Oryctolagus cuniculus: one gene and its partner. The protein of the gene in region 1 interacts with the protein of each later gene in a biochemical or structural test. Links are inferred from orthologs where the notes say so. Each region holds a gene or a part of one and is shown in the gene's direction. Other genes may lie near its edges.

Region 1 (9,999 bases):
TTGAAGACAGCTTATCTTTTCAGCAGGCTGGACCGCCTCACTGAGCATCTACTATGCCTGACCTGGGTAAGCGGAAGGCAGAGACGGAGCGGCCTGCCCGCCCTGCCCCCAGAGCCTCCATCCTGTCCACTACACAGATGGGTACACGATGCCCACTGCGGCCTTCATGCTCAGGTCAGGAGGAGGTGGCCCTTCACTCAAGACCCTTTCGTCACTTGATTGCCTGCGACTTCTCTGCTGCCCTTCCAACTCTCCCTCTGCTCATTCCTTCCCCACCTGCCGGTAAGATCCTTCGTGGGGGCCAGTGTCGCCGTGCAGTGGGTGAAGCGCCTATCTGAGGGCCTGGTTTGAGTCCCGGCTCTTCTGCTTCTGATCAGGCTCCCTGCTAATGTGCGGAGGGGAGCGGGCGGACAGATGATATGACAGCACCAAGTACTTGGGTTTCTGCCACCCACTTGGGAGACTGCAATGGAGTTCCCGGCTGCCACCTGGCCCAGCCCTAGCGGTTGGGAAGTTAATAGTAGATAAACATATTTGTCTCTGTTGGTTTTTCAAACAAACAAATAAATCCTACAAAGTATGTAGTTTTGGGGTGTTTAGGGGTGCAGTGGAGTGGGTTGCCTGCACTGTGTATCGGAGTACGGGTTCAAGTCCTGGCTCCTCTGCTTCCACTCCAGCCTCCTGCTAATAAGCGCCTGGGAGCTAGATCACAGCTCAAGCACTCGGCCCCTGCCACCCCTGTGGGAGACTCAGATGCTGCCCCAGGCCCCTGCCACCCTGTGGGAGACTCAGATGCTGTCCCAGGCCCCTGCCACCCTGTGGGAGACTCAGATGCTGTCCCAGGCCCCTGCCACCCCTGTGGGAGACTCAGATGCTGTTCCAGGCTCCTGCCTGTGGCCCGGCCCAGCCCTAGCCGTCATGGGCATTTTGAGAGTGAACCAGAGGATAGAGGAGCCATCTCGGGTGCTCTGCTTTTCATGTAGATGAAAATAAGCATTTTTTAAAGATTTATTTATTTGAAAGGCAGAGTTAGAGAGAGGTAGAGGCAGAAAGCAAGGTCTTCCACCTGCTGGTTCACTCCCTAAACGGCTGCCAACAGCTGAAGCTGAGCCAATCCAAAGCCAGGAGCCGGGAGCCAGGAGCTTCTTCTGGGTCTCCCACGTGGGTGCAGGGGCCCAAGGACCTGGGCCATCTTCCTGCTTTCCCAGGCCATAGCAGAGAGCTGGATGGGAAGTAGAGCAGCTGGGACTTGAACTGGTGCCCATATGGGATGCTGGCACTACAGGCAGCAGCTTTTACCCTCTACTCCATAGCACCAGCCTGCCCCCCCCCCGCCTTTTTTAAAGAATATTAACCCTTCCTCTTAGGCTTATTATGTGCAGTCCAAAAAAAGTAGTTCCTCACTTACTACTCATAAACCCAAAGGCAGATACTGTTGTAATCCTCATTCGACAGCTGAATAAGCCAGGCTAACAGAACCAGGCCTCAACCTGAACCCCACCTCCTCCACTTCCCAGCTCTGAGGTCCTGATTCACCCCTCCTCTGCCAGTTCCTATAAACTGTTAAGAATACTGTAAGGTGGGGCTGGCGGTGCGGTACAGTGTGTAAGGACGCCGCCTGCCGTACTGGCATCTCACATGGGTGCCAGTTCCAGTCCCGGCTGCTCCACTTCTGATCCAGCTCCCTGCTAATGTGTGTGGGAAAGCAGCAGCAGATGGCCGAAGTGCTTGGGCCCCTGCACCCACATGGGAGGCCCAGAAGCAACTCCAGGCTCCTGGCTTCGGATCAGCCCAGCTCCAGCCGATGCGGCCACTGGAGGAGTGAATCAGCAGATGGAACACCTCTCTCTCTGCCTTTGCCTCTAACTCTGCCTTTCAAATAAATAAATAAATCTTTAAAAAAAAAAAGGAATATTGTAAGGTGATTTTGAATAATAAATGAATAAATAAACAGCTGGAACACTGCCTACACTTAACAAGCATTACCATTTTCCACATTTTTAAGGATTTGACAGGCAGGGCAACAGAGAGAGCTGCTGGTTTGCTCCTGAAATGGCCGCACAGCCAGGGCTGGGCCAGGCTGAAGCTGGGAGCTCAGCACTCCCTCGGGGTTTCCCATGCTGGGTGTGGGGGCCAAGTACTCGGGTCACTTCCCGTTGTCTTCCCAGGGAACTGGATCAGAAATGGAGTAGCCAAGCCCTGAGCAGGCACGCTGACACGGGATGCAGGCGTCGCCCACAGTGGCTTAACATGCTGCACACGAGGCCCGCCCCCACCCCTTTTCAAGTCTCCTCCCGTGAGTGCTGTTTCGCTGACTCCACGTGAACACTGCGTGACGTTGGCTCTCTGCTGTTTCTGCTTGAACACTTGGTTCATTCCACAAGTACAGCGTGTGCAAAGCAATGCTTAGGCACCAGGAATACAGCACAGAACCAGATCTGTGTCCCCATGCCTGGGAAGGTGGCGACAGAGCCGTGAGCAGCCCGGAAAAATACCAGGCAGTGACAAGTACCCGCCCGGGACTCAACTAGGGGGTTCAGAGGCACTTTCCACTTAGGGTGCGAAGGGCCCTAAGGAGGTGACAAGGAGCCAGCCAGGCCAACACATTTTTATTTATTTATTTGAGAGGCAGACAGGCAGCGCAATGAGCTCCCATTCACTGGGTGACGCTCCAAACGCACATAACAGCTGGCGTTGGGCTGGGTCAAAGCCGGGCACTCAATCCAGGTCTTCCCCATGTGCAGGAACCCAGGGTCTCGCGGCCAGAGCCAGAGGCTGGGACTAGCTCGCTCCTCTGATGTCGGACACAGGAAACCCACCCAGCTGGCTACACACCTGCTTCTTAAAATCCACCCGGTCCCCTGGTCATGCCCACCAGACATCTCTCCAGCCTCTTTCCACGAGTGCCTGAAGCCCGCTCTGCTTGGAAATCCACAGGGTCCTATCCCACCATGTCTCGGCTCATGCCGTTCCCTCTCCACCCCACCCCTGTCACCCAGATGGGATCCCCCGGCCCCCATTCCCTGCGCTTCGAAGCACGACCCCCTCAGAGCATCAGATAAAGGGGGCAGACCTCTCAACTGGTCTGAGCGCCCCAGTGAGTGGCCTGGGCTTCCTATCGCCGCAGGTGTGCTAGCAAGAACTAAAATAACTCGGCCGCCCCGAAGAATGCTCCTAGGCCTTTAGTGCAAAATCCCAGGTGGGCAGCTGGGGCGCCGCAGGCTGAGCTGCCGCGTGGGCCGGACCGAGTGCCTAGGATGTGGCACCACCTCCACTTCCGACCACATGGGAGACAGCAAGGGACGCTGGAGTCCCGGGGTCCCTGGCCCTCAGCTCCCGGGGAGGCCTGCATGGAGCCCCTGGCTTCGATCCGGCCCAGCCCTGGCTGTTTTGGGCATCTGGGCAGGTCTGCCACTCTGCCTCTCCAACAGAAACAGAGCGACCCCGGGCCCCCCCAGACCTCCTCAACTTTGAACCTTCAGAGGCGACTTTTATCAAAGGTTCTGCTGGGGCAGCTGGTTACCAGAAGCCTGGGGGGCATCCGAGGCCGGCTCCGGTTGGTTCGCTAAGCCTGGCGCCCATCTGAGCCGCCGCAGGAGCACACAACGCCAAGCCCACCTTCCGAGCCCCCGCCCGGGGCGCCGGGTCCACTGCTGGGCCACGTGTGCCGCTGCCCGCCCAGCCGCCACACTGACGGCAGAGGAAGCGCGGCGGGCGGCCCAGGTCCCGCTGCCCACCCCACCATGACCAAGCCCCTCGCGGGCGCGACCTCCAAGCTGCTGGACCGCGGGGACAAACACCTGCCGCGTGGTTACGGGGGACTAACCGAGCGCTTGTGCACGGCTCACAACTCTACCCGCAGCCCTCGGGAGGCACGTGGGCCGGAGGGCGCTCCAGCGGCCAGGGAGTCTGGGGCCCCTGGCTGGCCGGCGGGCCCCCGAAAGGGCCACTCGGAACTTGGCCGAACCTCAACTTCCGGCGCCCTCGGGCTGACCCGCAGGAAACCGCCGCGACCCCTCGCTCCAGAGCCGCAAGCAGGCTCAGCGAGGAGCGCGCACCGGCGCCCTCCCGCGCACACGTCTACCGGACCCGGCTACTTTCTGGAAACCGAGACCACCGCCCCGCGTTCGCTCAGTTCGCCGCGCCACTCGCTCGCTCGCCCCGCGCCAAAAGAGCCCGTCGCATGACGCATGCGCCGGGACGACCGGCCGCGGAGGAACACTCTGCGACCCGCGCACCCCCGGGCCAATCAGCGCCGGCCTTGCACAAAGCAAATCCCGCCTCCAGGACGCGGCCGCCAGACCCCCTTCCCCTCCTTGGCCGCCTGGGCCCGCCCACTCCGGCCCAATCCCCGCCCCACGCCGCGCACAGTTAGCGGCTTGCGATTGGCTCGCGCGACGGACGCGAGCTCTGATTGGTAGAGGAGGAGTCACGAGGGCGCCGTCGTCGCCTTTCCAGAGGCGATTACTGGGCAGGCTCAGTCTTTCGCCTCAGTCTCTAGCTCTCGCTGGCAGCCCGGCGTACGTGCTCCGGCATCTTCAGTCACCCGCGGCCGCCATCGACGCCGCTCGGGTTCCTCTAGGCTCGTCTGCGCCACAGCCGCCGCCGTCGTAAGCCGCCATCATGGTGAAGCTGGCCAAGGTAAGCGCTGAGGGCGCGCGAGCGCGAGCGCCGAGGCCTGCTGCTCAGGAGCGCGCGCGGCGTCGCGGGGAGGAGGGCCTGCGCGCCGTCCCGGGCGCGTTCGAGGGCGCCATGCTGTGGGAAGTCTCGCGCGACTGGCGGGCAGTTCTCGCGTGTCTTGGCTGCTTGGCGGCGAGGTGCGGCGCGCTCCGGCAGGTGCTGAGGGCGGCGTGGAAGGCTGCGGCGCGGGGCGCGGGGCGGCGGGAGGAAGTGAGATCCAACTCGTGCGCCGCGCGCGGGCCGGGCCCCGCCTCCGGCCGCACGTGCGCCGGCTCGCGGCCCGCCACGTGGGCCCCGCCGCGTGGGCCGCGGGGTGGCCGGGGCCCGCCGGCGCGAACCCGCGGCCCTGGCCCAGCTGCCCGGGGCCCCCCGGCCGCCGCCACGTGCGCCGGCCCCGGAAGGAGGCGCCGGGGTGCGTGCACATGGTGGCCGCCGGGCACCCCCACGTGGCCGCGGCCAGGTGAGAGGGGCAGGCCGGTTGGGGTCCGAGGTGGCTTTGTTACTTTTATGCTTTTGCGACGCTGGTGCTGCCCGGAGTTCCGACGAGGGCGCTGGTGGTGTGCGTCGGAGGCTGGGGGGGGTCCTCCCTGGAAGAGTGGCCGCTGGCTACTAAGAAGGGTGCCTGGTGCTAGGGTTGAACCCAGGGGTGAATTAAGTGGTTGAGGGTAAAAAAAGGCAGATGGGTTATTTCATCACCTTGGACTTGTTTTTTAGGTTTTGTCAAGATTGACAGGGAAACTCTGATGGGCCGTACTGTTGGTCAGTTTCAGGATCGGTTATGTTTAATGCTGAAAGTGCGTTGAGGAGGGTGATGGTTGTATTTTATTGTGGGCCGTGGAATCGATGAGGGGTGTTCATGTCCTCATTGTGTGCGTTTTAGGCTGGTAAAAACCAAGGTGAGCCCAAGAAAATGGCTCCTCCTCCCAAGGAGGTAGAAGAAGATAGTGAAGACGAGGAGATGTCGGAAGATGACGAGGATGACAGCAGTGGAGAAGAGGTAACTGGGTCGCGATCGAGGAGAAATTGGGTTGCACTTACACAGTGGACAGAATGGTGTTGGGTGTCTGAAAAGGATATGAAAAGTAGTGTGTTATTCACGTGACCCGGGGTGGGGGGTGCTTAGATGGCAGGAGACCGTTGGGTGAGTACCTGAGTGTGAGCATCTGGGATCTGTGCCCTCTGCACGGCTGGAGTGAGGTTGATACACTTCTCCTGCTCAGCATAAAGGACCAGGTGGATTCTGTCCCCCCCCTGTATGTAAGGTTTGTAGCGATTGGGTGGGTTGAAGGTGCCACCTGAGCATTCACGTTCATTGCTTGCATGGAAAGTCGGTTTTTTAGAATTCAGCAAAGACTTTACTCTTAAGTGAACTATCTGATAAACTAGGAAGTTAATGAAAATAGCTTTGAATAGGAGTTAAAATGTAGGTAAATAATGGTTCTTACAGATACAGTGTTTATTTGATGTGCTGTAATTTGTAAGGGTTGCTCAGCCAATTTAAGGCTGATTTTTATCTCAGGTCCTGTCTCAGGACAAGAATCCTGTACCACTACCCACTGTATGATCCCCAGATGATTTTTAATATTCAGATTTATTTATTTGCAAAGAGAGTTATAGAGAGGCAGAGTTCTCCCATCCACTGGTTCACTCCCCAAGTGGCTGCAACGTCCAGAGCTGGACCTATCCGAAGCCAGGATCTTCTGGGTCTTCACGTGGGTGCAGGGGCCCAAGCGCCTGGGCCATCTTCTGCTTTCCAGGCCACAGCGGAGAGCAGGATGGAAGTAGAGCAGCTGGGGCTTGAATTGGCTCCCATATGGGCTGCCGGCAGCAGTTTTATGTGCTACGCCACAGCACTTTACTTACTGTTGAACCTAACATGTTAACATGGAACATATGCAGTCTTGAACCAGAGGCAGTGCCAGAATCCACCACTGGGACCAGGGCTGCCTTTCGGATGTAGCAGAACTAACTGTTGGTGTTTGCTGTTTAGATAGTCATCCCACAGAAGAAAGGCAAGAAAGCTGCTGCGGCTCCAGCCAAGAAGGCGGTGGCTTCCCCGACAAAAAAGCCTGCGGCTGCCACTCCTGCCAAGAAAGCAGTTGTCACTCCAGGTAAAAAGGGAGCCGCCACCACGCCAGCGAAGAAGGCCGCTACCCCAGCCAAAGCGGTGGTGGCGTCGGGCAAGAAGGGGGCCGCGCTGGGCAAAGCAGTGGTAGCGGCCTCGGGAAAGAAGGGAGCGGTCCTCCCCGCCAAGGGGGCCAAGAATGGTAAGAACGCCAAGAAGGAAGACAGCGACGACGAGGAGGAGGAGGAGGACAGCGAGGAGGACGACGACGACGAGGATGAAGATGACGAGGAGGACGAGGAGGATGAGTTTGAGCCGGCGGTCATGAAGGCAGCAGCGGTGGCCCCCGCCTCCGAGGATGAGGACGAGGAGGACGAGGATGAAGACGACGATGAGGACGAGGACGACGACGAGGAGGACGAGGAAGACGGTAAGGAAGTCATGGTGGCTCCTGGCTCTGGGAGGTTTCCACGTAGCCACGTGGGGTTGGATTAGAGTCCTTCCTGGGGTCCTCTGGGCTCTTCCTGTGGCCTTGAGTGTGGGGGTAGGGCGTTCTTTCCTCCAGAGCATCCCAGAGCCAGAGTTGGTGTGGGAGATCCTTCCAGACTGACTAGACGGCTCCTTTCAGACTCTGAAGAAGAAGCCATGGTGACCACACCAGCCAAAGGGAAGAAAGCGCCGGCGAAAGCTGCCCCCGTAAAGGCGAAGAGCGTGGCTGAGGAGGAGGAGGAGGACGACGACGACGACGAAGAGGATGAGGATGAGGAAGATGACGATGAAGAGGAGGAGGAAGACGAGGACGAGGAGGATGAAGAGGAGGAGGAGGAAGAAGAGGAGGAAGGTAATCTCTACAATGAGCCTGTTTCTCTGTGAACTTGTGAAGCAGCCTTGCGTGTGACTGCTCACAGGTGACACTGTTAACCTTGTCCAGAGCCTGTCAAAGAAGCACCTGGAAAACGGAAGAAGGAAATGACCAAACAGAAGTCAGCTCCAGAAGCCAAGAAGCAGAAAGTGGAAGGTACCTGGGAGAACTGGGGTGTTGGGTGGGGTGACTTCTGATAGCACAAGTGATGAACGACAAGGGGACTTAATGCTGAAGCCTGATGGTACATGTGATACACTGATGTGCTGTGTGGGCATTTTGTACTGGAAGCTGATTTTTTACCATATTTTAGAGACTGATAAGTAATTTTTTTGTACAGCCACAGAACCAACCACATCTTTCAATCTGTTTGTTGGAAACCTGAATTCTAGCAAATCTGCTCCTGAATTAAAAACTGGTATCAGTGATGTTTTTGCTAAAAACGATCTTGCTGTTGTGGATGTCAGAATTGGCACAACCAGGTAGGTGCTTTCCCTTCCTGTTGACATCCATGGGTCTGTTAATAGCTCCTCTAGCTGCCTTCACCTGTGTGGTTTCCTTAAACATAGATGTGTGAACGTGTTCAGTAATTTGACAATGTTGAATGAAGTCATTGGATTTTTAGAATCTAGAACCCCGAAATCCCTAATCAACCCTAATGTTATCGGACAGACTAATTCATAACATTTGGGTAATTTGGTGTTGAGTTCTTAGAAATCCCTTTTAGAAGATTTAATTTATTTGAGAGGTAGTTACAGACAGAAAGGTCTTCCATCTGCTGGATCATTCCCCAAATGACTGCAGCAGCTAGAACTGGGCTAATCAGGAGCTTCTTCCAAGTCTCCCACATGGATGCAGGGGCCCAAGCACTTGGGAAATCTAGTGTTCTCCCAGCTCATAGCAGAGAGCTGGATCAGAAGACCAGCCTGAACTCGGGGATCGAACTGGCACTCAGGTGTGTTTGCCTGCATTATAAGAGAATTAAGATGCCATGCCAGTCCTACTTCTGTCAGCTGTGTAGTCTGAGTGGTTATCAGTGTTTTTGCTGCTACTGTCTTGATTCTTAAATGGGTGTGTCAGCAAGTCTGAGTTGTGACTGGCCCATCCAGAGTTAACTGAACTTGAAAATCATGTCTTGGAACTTCAGTCTGCTCCTCAGCCATTTGTGGAGGCAAGGTGGTGGTTTTTGTCTTGTTTATTTTACTTAATTGCAGTAGTGCCGTTGCTGCTCAGAATACGGTCTGTGCCTTTTCCTCTGAGAAATGTCCCTCTTTCATCTTAAAGGAAGTTTGGCTATGTGGATTTTGAATCTGCTGAGGACCTAGAAAAAGCCTTGGAATTGACTGGTTTGAAAGTCTTTGGCAATGAAATTAAACTGGAGAAACCGAAAGGAAAAGACAGCAAGAAGGGTATGTGTGGCTTTCACAGATGACGGCACCAGCGTGTCCAAGGTAGAAGGGTTGCAAGTTGCCATTCTCATCCAAAATGCTTGGGACCAAAAGAGTCTCCATGCTTCAGGTTTTTCTTTGAAGATTTTGGGATATTTTCCATATATAAACAAATAGCTTGGGGATGAGACCCTATCTTAAACACGTTTTACACACAGCCTGAAGGTAATTTGACATTTTTAGTCTACCTGCGTTTTAACTTCTAAAGGAGGGAGAGACTAGATTCCATTTACTGGGTTATTCCTCAGAGGTTCACGAGTGCTGAGGCCTGGCTGGAGCCACAACCACAATCCAGGCCTTGTACCTGGGTGGTAGGGACCCTGCCGACTGTCATGCAGGGTCTGTATCAAGGAACTGGGGATACCCAGGTACTCCAGAAGGGGTGCAGCTGTCTCAGTGCTAGACCAAGTGCCCAGTGCAGTCCTGACACGATGAGCTGTGGAACTTCCCACTCGAGGTGTGTATTGGGGGCTCAGAAAGTTGGGTGTGTTTTTATTATTAGAGATGCTCAGTGCTCAACCTGAAATAATGGACACGAGCTTGCCTCCACTTGCATCTTTCAGCTCTATTTTTTATATGCTTAGATTGTTTTCTGTTGCTCAAAGGTACTGACCACCTTCTATAGATCGATTTCTCTGTTCTAGATGCCCATTTGACAGTATGCAATGTGGGAGACCCACTTGGTTCTCCCTACAAAGTCTTGGACATCGTTGGATTCAAATTTTGAATAGAACTGGGGCTTTGTGTGTGCGTGCACATTTATCCCTGTTATTCATTAAGGTTACAGAGTTGGTGTTGTATTTTTCTAGATCGAGATGCAAGAACACTTTTGGCCAAAAATCTCCCTTACAAAGTCACTCAGGATGAATTAAAGGAAGTGTTTGAAGATGCTGTGGAGATCAGACTGGTCAGCAAGGATGGAAAGAGTAAAGGGTATGTTTGAG
Region 2 (9,899 bases), on another chromosome or scaffold:
GTCCTTTCAGTTTGCCCAGGGCGTGACGTGGGCCCCAGCAGCCCCCGCCCCCACCTGCTTGGGCCGGGCCTCGCACGGGGGTCTCGGCCCTGCCCGGCTCCTGTCACAGAGCTCCGGGCCACCACATTCTAGAAGTGGCTCAGGGAAGGCGGGAGGGGCTGAGGGGCGGGCCCTGTGGAAGCAGGGGGGTGGGGGAGGCACCCCCAGATCCCAGGGCGGCTGGCGCCAGCTCCTCCTCAGACCGCGCCCGCCCCACCAGCCTCAATGGCTGCTTTCACGGCAAGGACAATGCCGGTGCTGTCGGGGGCGCCACCGCCCCGCCCACCCCCAGGGTTCAGGACGGCCCCTCCCGGTGGTGCCAGGCAGGGACGGCGCAGGGCTGCAGCCTCTCCCCGCCCTTTGTCCCCCGTGTCCCAGGGCGAAGCTGGGGCCGGGCTGGCCTCCCGAGCCTGTCTCCCCGCGGGTGGTGGGCACGCTAAGTGGCGGCAGTGGGGAGCCACGTCAGCTCCCCGTGGGGGGAGGTGTGGCCCTCCCGGCTGAGTGACAGGTCCAGGACGAGGCGGGGTCAAGGGTCACGAGGGTCCGGCTGGGGCCTGGCGTGATCCCCACGCCCTGGCCCGCAGCTCAGACCCTCCGGGGTGGGCTGTTGCCTGCTGGCAGCAGTGCAGGGATGGTGCCCGGGCTGTGGCCTGCAGCTGCCACGGAGAGCCCCGCCTACCCCCACCTCGGTGTCTGGAGCCCTAGCAGGACCACCGGGGAGGGCCGCGTCCCTTGGATGGCCCTGTGCCCGGGCTGTGCCCAGAGGGTTCGGCAAGTGACAGGAAGCAGAGCGGAGTGGACAGAGCTGACAGCCGGGGCCCAGCTGGTGACCGGCTCCGGGCTCGCCAGGGCTGGTGCTCGGCACAGCGGCCTCTCCCGGGAGCCTGCACTGGCTCAGGCCCCCGTGTGGCTGGGGTCGGCTCCAGGGAGAGGCCGCCCCGGAACCAGGCCTGCCGCCTCACGGTGAGGTCGCAGTGCGCGTGCTGCCCGGGGCCGTGTCGGCAGCTCAGGCTCCAGGTGGCCTGTGCCGAGCCCAGCGAGGAGTGGACCCCCACAGGGCGGGGCCTCCATGGGGATGTCCCTCCTCCGCCGGGGGCTACAGGCCCCCACAGCCGCCTCGGCTGGCATTGGGAGTCGCCACACACATGGGTGGGTTTGCATCCCCAGCCCCGGGCGGTAAGATGTAGGGAGGGTCCATCGCACCAGGAGCAGCCGGCCCCTGCAGCCCTGCCTGCTTTCTGCCCTGCATCTTTGCCTCGTGCGGTCCGTGTTGCCGTGCGCATGAGTGTGGCCCGTCCGTGTCGCCGTGTGCACGTGTGTGGCCCGTCCGTGTCGCCGTGCGCATGAGTGTGGCCCGTCCGTGTCGCCGTGTGCACGTGTGTGGCCCGTCTGCGTCACCATGCGCATGCCTGTGGCCCGTCCGCGTTGCACCTGTGCGGCCTGCGTCACTGTGTGCACGTTGTGTGGCCCGTCTGCATCCCCTGTGCCACAGCGCGGCTGCCTGGCCGTCCCTGGGGCCCCCAGGTGGAGTCCCGTTTGCGGCGGGGGGAGGGCAGGTGCACAGCCTCTCTCGGTCCCCGCCACTCCCCAGCCCACGCCCGGTGCGTGGGAAGCGCCGTCCACCAAGTGTTCCCGCTCAGGGACGCTGTGTGCAGAGGCCACCGGCGGGGCCTTGGCATGGGCTGACCCTCGGCCGCCCAGCAGGTGGCGCTGGGGAGGAGCTGGCTGGTCCTCAGGAGGGCAGGGCTGTGGTGGGTGTGGCAAGGCCGCTGGGGCCAAGGGCAGGGAATGCCGAGGGGCCGTGGGGTGAGCCCAGGGCGGCCACGCTCCTTTCTCAGGAAGGACGTGAGGCTCGCGTGGGCTGGGGACTGGTGAGGGCCCGGCCGAGAGCTCGGTGCCAGCGTGGGTGCCTGGCCACTGGGCCCTCGGCGGAGGCGGTCGCAGCCCTGGCCGCTGTGCCCAAGCCGGCTCTGGCTTCCCAGGGCGCTGCTGCCACCTGCTGGGCACGGTGGGCATGGCGGTGGGCCTGGGTGGAGAAGCCCCTGGGGTCCTCAGCTGGGGCTGCTGTTTTGCCTCTGAGCCTGTCTCCCGGTCACCCGCTTTGCTCCAGAAGGCTGGCCCCGGCGCCGGGAGGAGCCCTGTGGACGGACTTCCGGGCAGAGCCGGGCCGGTGCGCGTCGGTCAGAACAGGGCTCCTAGGAGAGCCCTGCTAGGCTGGGGACATGGTGGCCCTGGTCCCCACGCGGCAGAGGGCTTGCCTGCTGGGGAGAGGGTGCCCTGTAGGGGCACGGGGCCGAGCCGGCCCCTCCCGTGGGTGAAGACGCACGGGTCCTGCATCAGTGGGGCAGAGGCCGCCTGGTCCCCACCTCATCCCCTACCTGGTCCCCTGGCCTTGTCCCCCACCTCACCCCGTGCCTGCTCCCCTGGCCTTGTCCCCCGCCTGACCCCCCTGCCTGCTCGCCCGCTGGGTCCCCACCTGGTCCCCTGCCTCATCCCTGGCCTCGTCCCCCTCTGGGTTCCCGGGCTGAGCTGGGTGGGGCAGGGATGGCCCCCCAGGCTCCGGGCGGCCCCTTTGCTGTCTCTGGTTCCGGTGGCCACACAGCTCCTCCTTCTTTTTAAAGGTTTATTTACTTGAGAGAATTAGGCTTCCATCCGCTGGTTCACCCCCAAATGGCCACAACGGCCAGAGCTGGGCCTGGCTGAAGCCAGGAGCCAGGAGCTCCCTCCAGGTCCCCCACGCGGGTGCAGGGCCCAGGGACTCGGGCTGTCGTCTTCTGCTCCCCGGGCCCCAGCAGGGAGCAGCGGCAGCCGGGACTGGCACCGCGCACAGGGGCTCGGGACCCCCAGCTGGAGATGACGCCTTGGCACAGGCGGCGAACCGTGCGCCGTAATCGGAGGCCACCCGAGGGAGCCCTGGCTGTGGGTGGCTGCGGCCTGGGCCTGGGGAGGCAGGGTGTCAGTGCGGCCCTGGCCCTGCCCTGCACCCACCCAGTGGCAATGGGGCAGTGGTCCTGGAGGCGTCTGCACAGGGCTGGGGGCTCCTGTCTGGGAGCTAGGACCTTCAGGGCCATGGGCGGGGCCTCCGTCAGGAAGGGGCGGGCAATGGGTGAGATCCCGCCCAGGTGCTGTCACTCACGGTGGTCGGACCTGGGTGTGGGCGGGACTTTGCCGTGGGCCACAGCGCGTCTCTCGGTCTGTGCGCCCCTCCAGGGTACCGCGAGGGCTTCCTGTGGAAACGCGGCCGGGACAACGGGCAGTTCCTGAGCCGGAAGTTTGTGCTGACGGAGCGGGAGGGGGCCCTGAAGTACTTCAACAAGAATGACGTGAGCAGGGGACACACGCATGGGTCTTGTGTGAAGGTCGGGCCGCCCCACGGGGTTGGGGGCCACGGATCGTGGGCGGGCAGTGGCGGCCTGGGTGCCTGCCCTCGGCCTTATGGCCGTGCAGAGCCCACGGGGGCCTCGTGGCCACACCCCCTCAGCAGAGCCAGCCAGGACCCCCGAGCCAGTGCGCATCGGGGGCCCTGGGGACCCCGGGGGGTGTCGGTGAGGAGCGCCAGCCCCTTGTGCCCACCCCGCCGGCCTCAGCCTTGCCCTCCCCCCCAGGCCAAGGAGCCCAAGGCCGTCATGAAGATCGAGCACCTGAACGCCACCTTCCAACCGGCCAAGATCGGCCACCCGCACGGCCTGCAGCTCACCTACCTGAAGGACAACAGCACCCGCAACATCTTCCTGTACCACGACGACGGCAAGGTGGGCGCCGGGAGGGGCCGAGGCCCCGGGCGGGAGCAGCCGAGGCCGCGGGCGGGAGGGCGGACACCGGGAGGGGCCGAGGCCGCGGGCGGGAGGGTGGGCGCCGGGAGCGGCCGAGGCCCTGGGCGGGAGCAGCCGAGGCCGCGGGCGGGAGGGCGGACACCGGGAGGGGCCGAGGCCGCGGGCGGGAGGGTGGGCGCCGGGAGCGGCCGAGGCCCTGGGCGGGAGCAGCCGAGGCCGCGGGCGGGAGGGCGGGCACCGGGAGGGGCCGAGGCCCCGGGCGGGAGCAGCCGAGGCCGCGGGCGGGAGGGCGGGCACCGGGAGGGGCCGAGGCCGCGGGCGGGAGGGTGGGCGCCGGGAGCGGCCGAGGCTGTCCCTGGACAGCGGCACCCAGCCCTGCCCCTCGCCGCCCTGGCCTTCCTGGGAGCCCCTCCTCGGGCAGAGGCCACGGCCCGTGGCTCCCCTCTCTCCCGCTCTGCTCTCGGGGACGTCCCCCGGGCTCGTGCCCGTCGGCGGCGTGGCTTCTGCGAGCTCTCGAGGCTCAGGGTCCCCCAAGCTTCCTTGTCTCTGCTCAGCTGGCTCCCGGTGTGGGGGAGCTGGGCCTGGCCAGGGCCCAGAGACGGCCTCGGTGCGACGCTGCCGTCACCCGTCCCAGGCCCACTCCGGGAGGACCTGGTGCTCCGGGCCGTGCGGTCTCCCTCCTCCATCTGGGTGGCCCAGTGCCGAGCCAACCTGCAGCCAGGGGTGGGAGGGGACTTCCTGTGGCTGGAGGGTCCGGAGGAGGCGGTGGGCACCTGCTCTCCCCTGGGTGGGTGGTGTGGCAGGCGGCCGCCTAGGGCCTGCGGCCGAGGCCGATGAGGAGAGGTGGGCTGGCCGGGCCCTCAGGTTGGGACCACCTAGTGCTGGCTGGGTGTCATGGTCCGTGGTGTGGCCCTGGGAGATGAGAGGTGGGGTCCAGAGGGGCCCGGGCAGCCCTGGGCCACAGCCTCGCTCCATGTGGCCTGGCCCCCGAGAACCAGGCGGCCTCCTGGCCTCAGCCCGGTGGGCACGTCCTGGCCATGTGCGCCCCTGCCCGGGCCCCACCCGCGGCCCCCTCGTTCGCCCGAGCCCACCGTGCGCCTGCTCTCGGCCCCTAGGAGATTGTGGACTGGTTCAATGCGCTGCGGGCCGCCCGCTTCCACTACCTGCAGGTGGCCTTCCCCGGGGCCAGCGACGCAGACGTGAGTGGGCGGGGGCGTGTGGCGGGCCGGGGCGGGGGGGGCGCGCGGGGGGGGGGGTGGCCCGGCCCCGCCCTCACCGCCCTCATGTCCTAGCTGGTGCCGAAGCTCTCCAGGAACTACCTGAAGGAAGGCTACATGGAGAAGACGGGGCCCAAGGTGGGTGCAGGCCGGCGGCCCCGGGAGCCCCTGCCGGGGGTGCACAGGGCAGGGCCGGGCAGGGCTGGGCTAGGGCAGGGCCAGGCTGGGGGTGCACAGGGCAGGGCCGGGCCGGGGTATGCAGTGCCGGGGGTGCACAGGGCAGGGCAGGGCAGGGCAGGGCCGAGCTGGGGGTGTGCAGGGCCGAGGGTGTGTAGGGCAGGGCTGGGCTGGGCCGCGCCGCCCCCTCATGACCGCCCCTGACCCGCAGCAAACCGAGGGCTTCCGGAAACGCTGGTTCACCATGGACGACCGCCGGCTCATGTACTTCAAAGACCCCCTGGTGAGGGGCTGGGCCGGGGGGGGGGGGCGCCTGGCAGGTGGGTGGGGGCGGGAAGCAGGCTCGAGCCCAGCCCTGTCCTCTGGCTCCGCCCACAGGACGCCTTCGCCCGTGGGGAGGTCTTCATCGGCAGCAAGGAGAGCGGCTACACGGTGCTGGGGGGGCTCCCGCCGGCCACCCAGGGCCACCACTGGCCGCATGGCATCACCATCGTCACGCCCGACCGCAAGTTCCTGTTCACCTGTGAGACGGAGGCGGACCAGCGGGAGTGGGTGCAGGCCTTCCAGAAGGTGGTGGACAGGCCCATGCTGCCCCAGGAGTATGCAGGTGAGGCGGGGGCGTGGCCAGGCCTGCGGGGTCCGTGGGGTGGGGGCGTGGCCAGGCCTGTGGGGTCCGTGGGGTGGGGGCGTGGCCAGGCCTGTGGGGTCCGTGGGGTGGGGGTGTGGCCAGGCCCGCGGGGCACCCCTGCCCGTGTGGCTGGGACCAGGCCAATGCCCGTTCTGTTTCTAGTGGAAGCCCACTTCAAGCATAAGCCCTAGCGCGCAGCACCGCCCACCTGGGGACCACAGACTCACGTGGCTGACGTGGCTGAGGAGCTGGAGGCTGGACCAGGGAGGGGCTGTGGACGCAGGGAGCCCGGCCAGGTAGGGTCTGGGCCGCATCACGAGCAGACTGCCCAGGCGACCCCTGGCTTGGAGCAGGGCCCCGTGGGCCTGGCACTGGGACTCTGCCCCTCCCCTGCCCCGCCCCCCCCTCAAGTATTTATTGTGCACCTGCTGTGGTCCTGGAGCCTGGGCCGTTGGCCCTGGTCCCCACACTGACCCAGCCCCGGTCCTGGGGACCCTCTGCTGGCTGGAGGCCCCCACCCCCCGGGCCCCTGGCTTGGCAGACGGGTTGCCCAGCCCTCGCCTGTGGGGACCCAGTGGCCTGCGTGCCAGACACTTGGTGCTGATGATGGCCGGTGCCCGCCCGCCCGCCCACCCTCACTGCTGGCCCCGCACCCAGCTCACCCCTCCCTGCTTGCTGCTGGTGGGCCAACGGTGGGGGCCGCGGTGTGCGCGCCCTGTGCCCCAGCTGCACAGAGCACCCCTGCAGGTGACCGGGGTGGACCCCTCTCAGCCCTGCCTGGCACGACTGGGGGGGAGCTGCGCCCCCGCCCCGCCCCTCGTGCCACGTCCACTACCGCCCAGGCCAGACTGGGCCCCAGGTGTGTCGAGTGCACACACGGGCAGCCCCGCGTGGGGGCAGTGCGTGGGAGGACGTGGACAAGCGTGATACGAAGCCCAGGATGTGGCTGTGCTGGTGGGGAACCCCGGTCTGGACCCAGGACATCACGCGTGTCGGAGGTCTCGCGGCGTCCCGAGGTGTGGGGGCAGGAAGGGCCGGCTCTGTGCGGCCGCAGCCATGGGTGGCCCCGGGCCCTCGCTCCCCCACCCCAGGACCCTGGCCGCCGGGGCCGGGCGCACGCGCTCAGAGGACCCTGGCCGCCAGGGCGGGCGCGCGCGCTCAGAGGACCCTGGCCGCCGGGGCCGGGCGCGCGCGCTCAGAGGACCACGCTGCGAGCCGGTAGAAAGGATTTATTTACACGCGTGCTGACAGAGCTCCCCGACGCCCCGCACGGCGCACGCGGCCGCCGCGTGTCCTCCACAACCCCCTTTCAATTGTGAAGAAATAAAGTGTCCACACCTCTCGGTGCCTGCTGGCCTCTGCGCGGTGGCGGGACGGCGCGGGGACAGCCGGAGGGGCCGCAGCCCTGGCCCGGGGACGGGCGCGGTGAGTGCAGGCCGCCTGCCCACACGCGCGCCCTCCCCACGGGCCGGCAAACAAGGCAGCGGGAGAGCGGCGCCACGGCGAGGCCTGTGCTTTATTGGGGGAGCGCAGGGGACACGGGCCCCGAGCCGCCTGGCCGCCTCACACACATACAGACGCCCGGCGTGGCGCCGCCAGCCTCGGCCCGAGGGCCCGCCGGCGCGAGGAGCCCCGTCGCGGGCGCCCGTCCGACCCGTGCCCGCGTCGGCGGCCGCGCTCAGTCCAGCTCGATGGGGCTGCCGCCGCAGGGGCTCTCCTCGCCGTCCTCCTGCTCCGAGGCGCCCATGAGGCTGCTCAGCAGGTCCCCTGCAGGGCACGGCGGGCGCGTGAGCAGGGCCGCCCCATGGGCGGAGGCTCCCACTCAGGGCCAGGGCCTCGCCCCGGGAAGGAGCCCCTGCCCGCAGCGGCCTCAAGTCCACCCGGCCGCGGGAGGCGGGGCCCTGGCGAACACGAGAACCGCGATTCCCGATCGCGACACAGAATGTAAAGGCCAGCGGGGAGCGCCTGGGCGGCCGCGGCGTGGGGCACCCTGGAGCCACGGGGGGGGGGGGGGGCTTACCGAGCAGGCCTCCGTAGGACGACGTCTGCTTGGGCGGCACCCCGAAGAAGAGCTGGCCTATGCGGTCGAGGTACTGCGGGGAGGGGGCCGTGAGGCACGGGGTGCCGGCCGGGGCGCCCACCCCCACCCCCACCCCCAGCCCGGGACACACGGTCGAGGCGCTGCGGGCCCGAGCAGGCCGCCCCCAGGCGCCGGCCCTCACCTCGTTGTACATGGGGTCCCTGCGCAGGGACGGCTGGTACTGCTCACACAGCACCGTGAACACCGTCAGCTTCCCGCTGAAAGACAGGGCCCCGCGTGACGCCAGCGCCGCCGTGACCGCAGCCCCGCCCCGCCCCGCCCGCCCGGCCCGCCCCCGCGGGCTCACCCGTCCACAGCCAGCAGCAGGAACCAGATGAAGTTGAGCAGGGGCTGCACGAAGGGGGGCCCGCCCTCGATGGACGGGTGCTTCTGCGTGTACGTCGTGAACACCACCAGCGCGCTGCTCTTGTTCTTCAGACACAGGAACCTGCGGGGACCCTCCGCTCACAGCCCCGCCTCCCCCCCTCCGCTCACAGGCCCCGCCTCCCCCCTCCGCTCACAGGCCCCGCCTCCCCGCACTGCCCCTGCTCTGGGCGGGGACCCCTCCGCTCACAGACCCCGCCTCCCCGCACTGCCCCTGCTCTGGGCGGGGCTCACAGCAGACCCCCCCCCCACTGCCCCTGCTCTGGGCGGGGCTCACAGCAGACCCCGCCTCCCTGCACTGCCCCTGCTCTGGGCGGGGCTCACAGCAGACCCCCCCCCACTGCCCCTGCTCTGGGCGGGGCTCACAGCAGACCCCGCCTCCCCGCACTGCCCCTGCTCTGGGCTGGGGGCTCACAGCAGACCCCGCCTCCCTGCACTGCCCCTGCTCTGGGCGGGGCTCACAGCAGACCCCCCCCCACTGCCCCTGCTCTGGGCGGGGCTCACAGCAGACCCCGCCTCCCCGCACTGCCCCTGCTCTGGGCTGGGGGCTCACAGCAGACCCCGCCTCCCCGCACTGCCCCTGCTCTGGGCGGGGCTCACAGCAGACCCCCCCCACTGCCCCTGCTCTGGGCGGGGCTCACAGCAGACCCCGCCTCCCCGCACTGCCCCTGCTCTGGGCTGGGGGCTCACAGCAGACCCCGCCTCCCCCCACTGCCCCTGCTCTGGGCGGGGCTCACAGCAGACCCCGCCTCCCTGCACTGCCCCTGCTCTGGGCGGGGCTCACAGCAGACCCCCCCCCACTGCCCCTGCTCTGGGCGGGGCTCACAGCAGACCCCGCCTCCCCGCACTGCCCCTGCTCTGGGCTGGGGGCTCACAGCAGACCCCGCCTCCCCGCACTGCCCCTGCTCTGGGCGGGGCTCACAGCAGACCCCCCCCACTGCCCCTGCTCTGGGCGGGGCTCACAGCAGACCCCGCCTCCCTGCACTGCCCCTGCTCTGGGCTGGGGCTCACAGCAGACCCCGCCTCCCTGCACTGCCCCTGCTCTGGGCGGGGCTCACAGCAGACCCCCCCACACACTGCCCCTGCTCTGGGCGGGGCTCACAGCAGACCCCCCCACACACACTGCCCCTGCTCTGGGCTGGGGGCTCACAGCAGACCCCGCCTCCCTGCACTGCCCCTGCTCTGGGCTGGGGGCTCACAGCAGACCCCGCCTCCCTGCACTGCCCCTGCTCTGGGCTGGGGGCTCACAGCAGACCCCGCCTCCCTGCACTGCCCCTGCTCTGGGCTGGGGCTCACAGCAGACCCCCCCACACACTGCCCCTGCTCTGGGCGGGGCTCACAGCAGACCCCCTCCCCCCGTGCAGTCATGGCTGCACGCCGGCGCACACCTGCTGCGGCACGGCTGGGCGGGGAGCGGACCCTGGCTTCTCTCCATGGGGCATGGCAGGCGCAACCCAGGGCTCCCCGGGCAGTGCCCTGAGCTTGGGGCAGAGAACGTGGCCACGCCGCGTGCCACGGCGCCAAGACTGGTGCCTCTCAGATTTTAAACAAACCCATCATGGGGGCCTGTGCCGCCCGCGCTACCCCATCACCGCAGGCCT

What was found.
Region 2: the proteins of NCL (region 1) and ADAP1 form a complex in vitro, tested with the Homo sapiens proteins (2 studies listed by BioGRID). The link is inferred for Oryctolagus cuniculus from reciprocal best matches to the Homo sapiens genes NCL and ADAP1.

Annotation. Positions count from the first base shown.
Region 1 is NC_091434.1:7,814,043-7,824,041, forward strand, and holds the start of NCL (nucleolin), read left to right. Parts: upstream 1-4,412; 5' UTR 4,413-4,623; coding exon 4,624-4,641; intron 4,642-5,560; coding exon 5,561-5,677; intron 5,678-6,670; coding exon 6,671-7,175; intron 7,176-7,373; coding exon 7,374-7,586; intron 7,587-7,676; coding exon 7,677-7,763; intron 7,764-7,805; exon of another isoform or gene 7,806-7,874; intron 7,875-7,947; coding exon 7,948-8,089; intron 8,090-8,891; coding exon 8,892-9,016; intron 9,017-9,864; coding exon 9,865-9,988; intron 9,989-9,999. UniProt on the Homo sapiens protein: Nucleolin is the major nucleolar protein of growing eukaryotic cells. It is found associated with intranucleolar chromatin and pre-ribosomal particles. It induces chromatin decondensation by binding to histone H1.
Region 2 is NC_091450.1:36,354,326-36,364,224, reverse strand, and holds the end of ADAP1 (arf-GAP with dual PH domain-containing protein 1), read left to right. Parts: intron 1-2,647; exon of another isoform or gene 2,648-2,979; intron 2,980-3,175; exon of another isoform or gene 3,176-3,249; coding exon 3,250-3,362; intron 3,363-3,644; coding exon 3,645-3,791; intron 3,792-4,927; coding exon 4,928-5,011; intron 5,012-5,104; coding exon 5,105-5,167; intron 5,168-5,417; coding exon 5,418-5,489; intron 5,490-5,584; coding exon 5,585-5,813; intron 5,814-5,996; coding exon 5,997-6,025; 3' UTR 6,026-7,175; downstream 7,176-9,899. Other genes in the region: GET4 (Golgi to ER traffic protein 4 homolog), read right to left, coding at 7,513-7,601, 7,855-7,927, 8,057-8,132, 8,222-8,362. UniProt on the Homo sapiens protein: GTPase-activating protein for the ADP ribosylation factor family. Binds phosphatidylinositol 3,4,5-trisphosphate (PtdInsP3) and inositol 1,3,4,5-tetrakisphosphate (InsP4). Regulates the incorporation of CD63 and CD9 into multivesicular bodies.